2 linked regions of the Bombyx mori genome follow. The protein of the gene in region 1 purifies or fractionates together with the protein of each later gene. This does not show direct contact. Links are inferred from orthologs where the notes say so. Each region holds a gene or a part of one and is shown in the gene's direction. Other genes may lie near its edges.

The links.
Region 2: the proteins of rac GTPase-activating protein 1 (region 1) and protein FAM98A purify together in Homo sapiens (co-immunoprecipitation; 3 studies listed by BioGRID and IntAct, with this or other methods). This does not show direct contact. The link is inferred for Bombyx mori from reciprocal best matches to the Homo sapiens genes RACGAP1 and FAM98A.

What each region holds. Positions count from the first base shown.
Region 1 is NC_085114.1:3,029,388-3,033,721, reverse strand, and holds the start of rac GTPase-activating protein 1, read left to right. Parts: upstream 1-1,417; 5' UTR 1,418-1,590; coding exon 1,591-1,702; intron 1,703-1,950; coding exon 1,951-2,153; intron 2,154-2,641; coding exon 2,642-2,795; intron 2,796-3,536; coding exon 3,537-3,697; intron 3,698-4,334.
Region 2 is NC_085130.1:5,588,532-5,592,928, reverse strand, and holds the start of protein FAM98A, read left to right. Parts: upstream 1-1,365; 5' UTR 1,366-1,531; coding exon 1,532-1,569; intron 1,570-2,307; coding exon 2,308-2,540; intron 2,541-3,351; coding exon 3,352-3,488; intron 3,489-3,758; coding exon 3,759-3,894; intron 3,895-4,397. UniProt on the Homo sapiens protein: Positively stimulates PRMT1-induced protein arginine methylation. Involved in skeletal homeostasis. Positively regulates lysosome peripheral distribution and ruffled border formation in osteoclasts.

The sequences.
Region 1 (4,334 bases):
TATTACTATTTATTATAAACTTAATAGATTATGTATTTTGATTTAATAATTTACCTGTTAATTAAATTAAGTCTGTGATAGGACTAATTTAGTTATCTGCTTTGTTTGCAAAAAATATACACAAATAAAAATATACAAAAAGAAAAATAATAATTTTTTGTCCTTCAGATTTTTAAACTGGCTTGTATCTTCTTACCTTGGGCCTACGAGCTAAAACTATAACCGGATAAGAAAAGCGATTTAAACTGTAAACAAATGAGTATATTTTTACTATTTTTAATACTACAAGATCTACAAAACAAAGGTAGAGCAACACATGCAACATACATACCATATGAAATCTTTGCAGTGGGAACAAAACGTCGGCTGCTTGAAGAATCTCGGCATGAATTTGTGATCTTTCACCAGGTAAACATTCTTCTTCTTTAGGGCACCCTTGCGGCCTCGCAAACGAAACGCCTGGCCCACTTTCAGGTCACCACCACCGTCATCACAATTATTTTCCTCGTCCGCCATACCGATTCGCGGTCGCGAAATGCGCCGGGAAACTCGAAAATATTATTATCTCACAGGCAACTACTCGCAAGACTGCGAAGCCCACACGGACAGACCGCCGTCCTCAGCCGAATGTCATTGCGATTTGTCAGTTCACTGAAGAGTCCCATCTGTTGTCAATGTCAAAATAAAATATTACCAAGCTATAAAAACAAAATCCTCTAAAAGATTGGGTAAAACTTTTAAGTACCTACCTAGTGAGCCCTAGCAATCCTTTGAAAACGAACTCATTTTGTGATGCAGCTGGTAATTATTATAGCTTTTGCTGCATTTTGTCTTTCACTAAAAGGTAAAATAAATCTGTCTTGAGTGAAGTTTCCGATGTCTTAATTATAGTTTTTTTTATTGTTGAAAGGGTGTTTTTGTAATGATTTTTACAAAAACAATGAATTTAAAATAGGGAAAGGGGTTTCAATCCTCAATAATTTTTATTGCGTATCTTAAACTTATTTAGTGATTCACTTATTATTCAATTTTCAATTATAAATTAAGTCACAATAATAGTAAAATTTCAAAAAAATTCACAATTGCATATTTCTTAAGTACACTATGTAATACACAAAAATGTGTAATAATGGTGGTTTATAAACAGTTTGGCATCTGTGAAAATGCAAATATATGGGGAAATGAAACAAAGCCAATGAATAAAGCTTCTATGGATTTTCCAAAAAGTTCACTGAAAAAGCCTCTGTAAATAGCCCCCATTATACTGAGACTATTGTTTGTCGAATATCCTTTCGTTAATTTAATTTTATCCTAATGGAATAATGTCTGAAATTAATCAACTCAGATCATACAAAAGAATAGGCTGAATGGAACTACGACCATAAATTTGACGTTGACACTTCCGTAGATTAAGATACTTCCTTCAATTTGAAAATCCGTCACTGAATGGTCGTTATTTCAAGTTTATACAGTTGACAAAATATATATTAGTGAATTTATGCATTCATTTCAAAATATAGATTGAAATGCGAAGAAGTGTTGAAAGTTTTGTAGTAATTATTTAATGGAAAAAGCTATATACTTATTAAAATGAGTTCAGAAAATTCAGATTCCGGTCCAAGCATCGCGCTCTCCCTTGTAGCCCAATTTGATGACATCAACCGCTTGAATAATGTTTTAAATGATGGAGCCGCAGAAGAATGTATGTAAAAATTAAACTAAAACTACATTTAACATAGTTTTCTTTAGTTGTTCATTGTAAATGATTAGAATCTACCAACTTTTAATGCGTGTATAAACTACCCACTCATTTTGTGTACATTGTGATTGATGCGTTATAAACCCACCTACATATTCATAAATAATTCGATAAGAGCCTTTAGTATTGTTTTAACGAATGATATTAAGTGACAGAAGGGATCCAGTGAAAATTGTGTTTGCCCTTTGCAGATTTCTTAGCATTCTTAAAGCAAATGGAATGGGTGCGCTGTCAATGGGCAGCAGCCGAGTCCGAGGCTGTTCGCCTTCAAAGTGAGCTTGACGAAGCTCTAAAGACACTAGGCAAGTGGGAATCTAAGTTTGCTCATGTCAGGAAACTGCTTGATGGAGAAAAAAGAGAAAGAAACATAATATTGAAGAAGTACAATGAACTGGTAAGGAAAGTTTGATTATAAAGGCATTTAAAAGTTTATTTTCGTTATAAAATAGTAATAGTTGTTTTCCAAGTCACAGACATGCTTAATTAATACTGTTAATTGATATAGATGTTTTAATTATATAAATAATATACCTATACATATAAGTTAATATCCCGATGGTGTCAAATTGCTCGACCAATTTTGATGAAATTTTCAGATTAGTCTAGCAGGTCATTTTGTGAATTTTGTAGTGATCAGATCCAAGGCAACGATTGACCAGTAAAGTAGGTTGGGTTTGACTTGTATAGTATAAAAATCTATGCAACAGTGTATAGGATTATGGAAAGATATAGAAGTGGCACTCTTAAACAAATAAAATGTACAAATTTGCATTTTCTCCGGTAACTTTTAAGCCATTGAGTAGAAGTAATAGAAAAAAAAACCATTTGGGACATAGTATTCAACTTATGGATATTTATGAAAGTGTATCTGATTTGTTTCAGAGTAAACTACTGGACATGGCCCGTGACCTCTTATTCAATGACAATCGTGCCAAGTTGAATGATGAAACCTTACAGAAGCTTGCATTCCTTAATGGAACTGCTCAACAAGACCACAATGCTAAGCTTAGTGGAGTTCCAGAACTTAATTCTACTGGTAAAAAAATGATTTCGCTTGTTGTTAGGGCACCTCACTGGTACATATGGCCCTCACAAGTTGATGATTTCACTTATTGTGTAATAAAGTTTACGAAAAGATTCTCTTTCTGAAAATTTAAACATCAAAGTTTATATACAGGTTTATTTCACAATTTGTGTCACCCTGATAAATAACAATAAAATTAATGTTATTTAATTAAAACATTGTAGCTTAATTGCAATCATTAGAAAGAGACAGTAATACTTTTAGTAATGCATTTAAAGTCGGATAGGTACTGACATTTCATTACTTTTAAAAAATAATTAAAGCAAGATCTATACAACTAGAGTTAAACAACATCTAACTCACAATTATTTATTTAAAGTAAATACTTCAATTATCATGCACCAACAATTATTATATGCTCTATGTCTTCTAAAAGATGATCTCAATATCAATTTGAAATAAATTTATGGACCAGTAATAATAGTACTGGCCTGCCAACATCATGATTTATTTTAAAGCAAATAGCATTATTCACGCTGTGGTATTTATAGGCCCTATTAAATACACATAACAAGTATTTGAAAAGTATTTAACAAGATTGAGTTTGCCATATCGTGAGTCTATGAAAATAATAATTTTCAATGTTAACAAGTTCAATGTAATATAAAATAATCAGTACTACACTACTTCACTTGTTTTGTGAAAACATTTGCTTAGTTAAATTACAGAAAAAAAAAACCTTAAAATGTCCAGGTACACTACTATCAGAGATGTCATATTCTCGTTCGGAAGATGACCTAGACCTGTCACTGGCTTCGTCTCGACGTTCTTGGGTTCAGCGCGGCGGGTGGCATGCCAGAGAGAACCAGCCCGCCAATAAGAAAAGGCGATCGTCAACTTCCTCTGCTACTAAAGTAAGGGACGGCTTTTAAAAAAACAAGTATCTATAATGTGGGCACTGATGTTATTGTTTGAGACTGTTATGCAAGAGCACTTCAAGTTAATTTAAAAAAAAAAGGATTAATATACATAATATGTATAGTTGAGCTCTAGATTATCTTGATTAATTTTGAATGTCTATAAATTAAGAATCAGTTGGGTATAATAACACAAAGAAAATTTTGAAAATCAACACAATATATATACAATTTTTGTACTATTTGTGCTACATCATACCAAATACTATGGTTCAGCAAAATATGTAATTATATTTTCACTATTGTATAGAGCAGGTTGAAATATGTTTAATATTTCAGAAGAAACAAAATGTGTCGTGGGACACCGGATTGGAACGAAGTTCCTTATTATAAAAATATTAATTTTAATTTCTATTCTATTAACTTTAAATTCTAAAACTGGAGGTTTCGCAACAACCCACGGTCATTTGGTAACGTGCGAACTTATTGTGGTACACTTCATTCACGGTTGTTTGCATAAGAGTTAGTGTATTGCGCAAACAAACACTCTGAGATCGTGGTCAATAAATGATAAAAAAATGTTATTTTTTGTACGTTATTACAAAGTTAAGTGGTACACTGTGTGCATTACTAA
Region 2 (4,397 bases), on another chromosome or scaffold:
TGTTCACGATTGACTTCCACGGTGAAGGAATAACATGGTGTAATAAAAATCAAACCCGCAAAATTATAATTTGCGTAATTACTGCTGGTAGGACCTCTTGTGAGTACGCACGGGTAGGTACCACCGTACCGCCTATTTCTGCCGTGAAGCAGTAATGCGTTTCGTTTGAAGGGTGGGGCAGCCGTTGTAACTATACTGAGACCTTAGAACTTATATCTCAAGGTGTGTGGCGCATTTACGTTGTTGATGTCTATGGGTTCCAGTAACCACTTAACACCAGGTGGGCTGTGAGCTCGTCCACACATCTGGCAACAAAAAAAAAAAAACTACCGAAACATCAGAAATTTTCCACAGCTAATTTATGACATGTCATTTCGAGTGAGCGCACCAATATGGAGCTTTATCGTTTTGAGAAATTTCTTAAAATATGTGTTTTATTTACAGGATGGCAGAATATAAATTTAAAGACATAATTCTTGAAATTTGCGTCTCGAAAGTAGTTGAAAGTAAAATTCTTTCTTCTAAGGTTTCAACTATTAGGAAAAAAAAATTGACAGGCTATAGAAGAAATTTCTAAAAGAAAAACGTTCCTGTACATGAAAACGAGAACTGCCGGTTCATTAGCCCGTTGGAATTACAGCGTGTGGAAATGATAACTGGTGGTAGGACCTCTTGTGAGTCCGCACGGGTAGGTACCACCGCCCCGCCTATTTCTGCCGTGAAGCAGTAATGCGTTTCGGTTTGAAGGGTGGGGCAGTCGTTGTGACTATACTGAGACCTTAGAACTATATCTCAAGGTGTGTGGTGCATTTACGTTGTAGATGTCTATGGGCTCCAGTAACCACTTAACACCAGGTGGGCTGTGAGCTCGTCCACATATCTAAGCAATAAAAAAAAAATAAAAAAATAAAAAATTACAAAACCCACTGAAGCCGACACGAAATATGTCCTACCACTAGTAATACGAGATTGGCGACAGAACTATGCGCTGAGAATACTGCTGCTTTTTCTGTAGTGAATCTGTTTTATGTGGGATTCGTGTTTATGAACTTCGATTTTCAATTTACAAAAATCCTGTTCTGCTTTAAGGCATAATAAGTTATTTAGTTATATTATTTATTGTGGTATAATTAAAAAAATTAACATTTACATTCTAACTTTAATTTCACCTTCTACAGCAGACAAAAATCTCATATATTTACGAGGCGCCTCATACAGTTGGAAGCTTTGGGTTCGTGATTTCGTGCCTGTCTATGCGTGCCTGATTCTAATGCGTAATTATTTCATGTTTAGTTTCTGTATTCTTGGTGTTTTGTGGCTTAAAGGAATAGAACGCAGGGCTCCATCCATGAAATGTCTTGACTTCAATTGTCTTATCGATGGTTAAACGTTTAATCTATGAATAAAATATAAAGGACCTGGAACGCCGGCTGAAATCTATTTTTCAGAATTTCTTATCCCAAGTAAAACTGTGTTTTAGTCAGTAATTTAATAAAAAGTACAGAGCTTTAGTAAGAGGTTATTGACTAAAATGGAAAACGAAATATTGGACTCACTTAGCGACTTGAGGTATGTACGGTTATAATTTTTTGTAGGTTTGATCAAGTTAAAATCACCGGTTCTATTATTTTCACTTAAAAATGTTCTTTAAAATGGATAAATTAAGAAACTTTAAAACGACACGTTAGCGTTACCGAAAAACATTTCGCAATATGGTAAATTCAGAATTAATATTGACAGATTCAGTTGGTTTGACTATTTCGATATTCTTCGTTGACAACATAGAATTCCTTAACCTAACGAATACTATTACCTATCTACGAGTATATATAACCTAGCGTTTTTAAGCAATCACGATCAGAAAAAAAGCGGACCATTTTTTTTTTTTTCGGTGTTCCCTCGTCTTATACATAACTAAACCTACTCTCACAGTTCAGTCGTGTATGACCACGAAAACTGTAAAGTGTTCCATATGTCGGAAACAATATAATCACAATAAAAACGCTAGATTAACCATAAAAGTAGTTTTATGTAGTAGTATTGTGAATAATGGTTTTTCTACCTAAAAGAGGTACAATTTACAGTCTTCCACTAGTCTATTTCGTTAATCCTACATGATATATTTCCTTCCTTTAATATATCTTTCTCTTAATATAAAAGCATTGATTTCAATTTTATTTTAGTTTTTTTTTTATAAATACATGTCTATATTAACAGACCTTTAATGTATTAAATTAACCAAGTATGTCATTTGATCTGTAATTTTTTGTGTAAGACAAGTCATAAAACATTAGAAAAAATTTTAAGCTATGAAGGCCCACTCTCCGAAGAAGCTGTCTTTGCAAAGGCTATTGAGGGAGGTGCCAAGTCCCTTGACTTCACCAAACTTGTGCATATATTGGCTGAAGAGTTGAAGAATCTCTGTCACCTCGAAGAGACTGTAAACATGATTAATGATCCAGACGATTCAAGCTCTTTCCTGCTGGAACTTAGTTCATTTTTGAAAGAATTGGGATGTCCCTACAAGAAATTGGTAACAGGTGTGTAATTATTAAACATTAATCACCAATATCTATATATATAAAAATGAATTGCTGTTCATTAGTCTCGCTAAAACTCGAAAACGGCTGGACCAATTTGGCTAATTTTGGTCTTGAATTATTTGTGGAAGTCCAGAGAAAGTTTAAAAGGTAGATAAATATTAAAATGCTTGGAATTAAATGAAAATAACAATTTAGTTTTCCCTTTGATGGGTCTCCCGTTGGACGGATTCCTTTTGTTTGTTTTAAGTTTATACAAAAGCTTAGCTCTTTTATTTATCGATTGAGGCACTACGAAGTCTGCTGGGTCAGCTAGTAATACATAAAATAGAGAGGGTAATCAAAATATTTTTACTTACATAGTCACAATGATTTATTAAATAGTTATTTAATAGTTAGTACCAGTATTCAGAAGCAATTTTATAGCCTGTGGTCTACTAGGGTGTGGTTACAATTATCATTTAAACCAGAGTCAGAATGATGATACCTAGTTTGATGTTATCATGACCTACAGGATAAGTCATCTGGTACATCGGTATTGAACAATGTGATTGTGCCATTTCTTAAATACTACAACATGGTACCAATTTTTCTAATGTAACTAACACACATTCACGAATGATTTCCGTGATGAAGAAATAACAGTGTAATAAAAGTGAAACCTGCAACAATTATAATTTGGATAATAAATGATGGTCAGTGGTGGTCAGGTGGTCTGAATCACCACTGGCTGTGCTTGCAGTAAGGGCTGTTAGTTCAACAACCTTAATGGATTTGTATAATAATAAACTATTAAACTATGTTCAAACAGGTCATATGTCATCTCGACTACAATCTAAAGACGATCGTCTGTTACTGCTTGATTACCTGATCTCCGAGCTCATGGCAGCTAGAATGGTGAATGTAGATCGTCCACAAGATAAGGGCTCAGGCATGGAGATTGTTATGGTATATACTTAATCATTTAATTTCAACCATTTATTTTGAATTAAGATTATGCTGTGTAATTAAAATAGGGCTTTAAGTTTGGAGTCATTATGATCGCCAAATATTTTTGTTCAAGTCTAAATCTTGCATAAACTGGGTGGCCGTCCTTATTCTTGATCTCTTTGGGAGCATATAATTTGCTCAATGCAGAAAATATATTATCTTTAACAGCTACAGTTTATTTAAAAAAACTGAAATTCTAGTCTTCAACAACCATACACTAATTTTCAGCGTGAATCTCCAACAGCCAAAGATCTCAAAGATATATTGATTACTCTAAAATTCAACAAACCACCACCGAATATCACTCCAGAAGTGCTATTCTCCAAGCTGGAAGGAAAGTTAAAGGATACCATACAAAAGGAAGGTAAAAATATATATTTATTTTTGTAATCGAATACATATTGCATATATTAAATTGCTTATAATAAAATACTTTACAGTTTTACTAGATAAGTAGGTAGGCAGCGGCTTGGCTATGCCCCTGGCATTGCTGAAGTCCATGGGCGACGGTGACAACTCATCATCAGGTGGGCCGGATGGTCATCTGCCTACAAGGGCAATAAAAAAAAAGATTTTATATTTTTGATTGATTTAAAAATTTTACTATTTCATTTGATTGATGACATGAGTTATATAATAACATTGATGCGAGCACTCACCTTGTCAGATGAGCTCTAGTCTCAATCATATTAGATAACAAGCCCCATCTTTCAAATGAGAGTGAATTTGTTACTTCAGGGCAGGGAGAAATTTGGTAGCACATCTGCAAGTCCATAATACAATCTAGCTTAAACTTTGTTTATTCAGAATATATTGTAGAAAAGTCACAAAACACCAATGGCTATTCATTAATTTGAACACCCATTG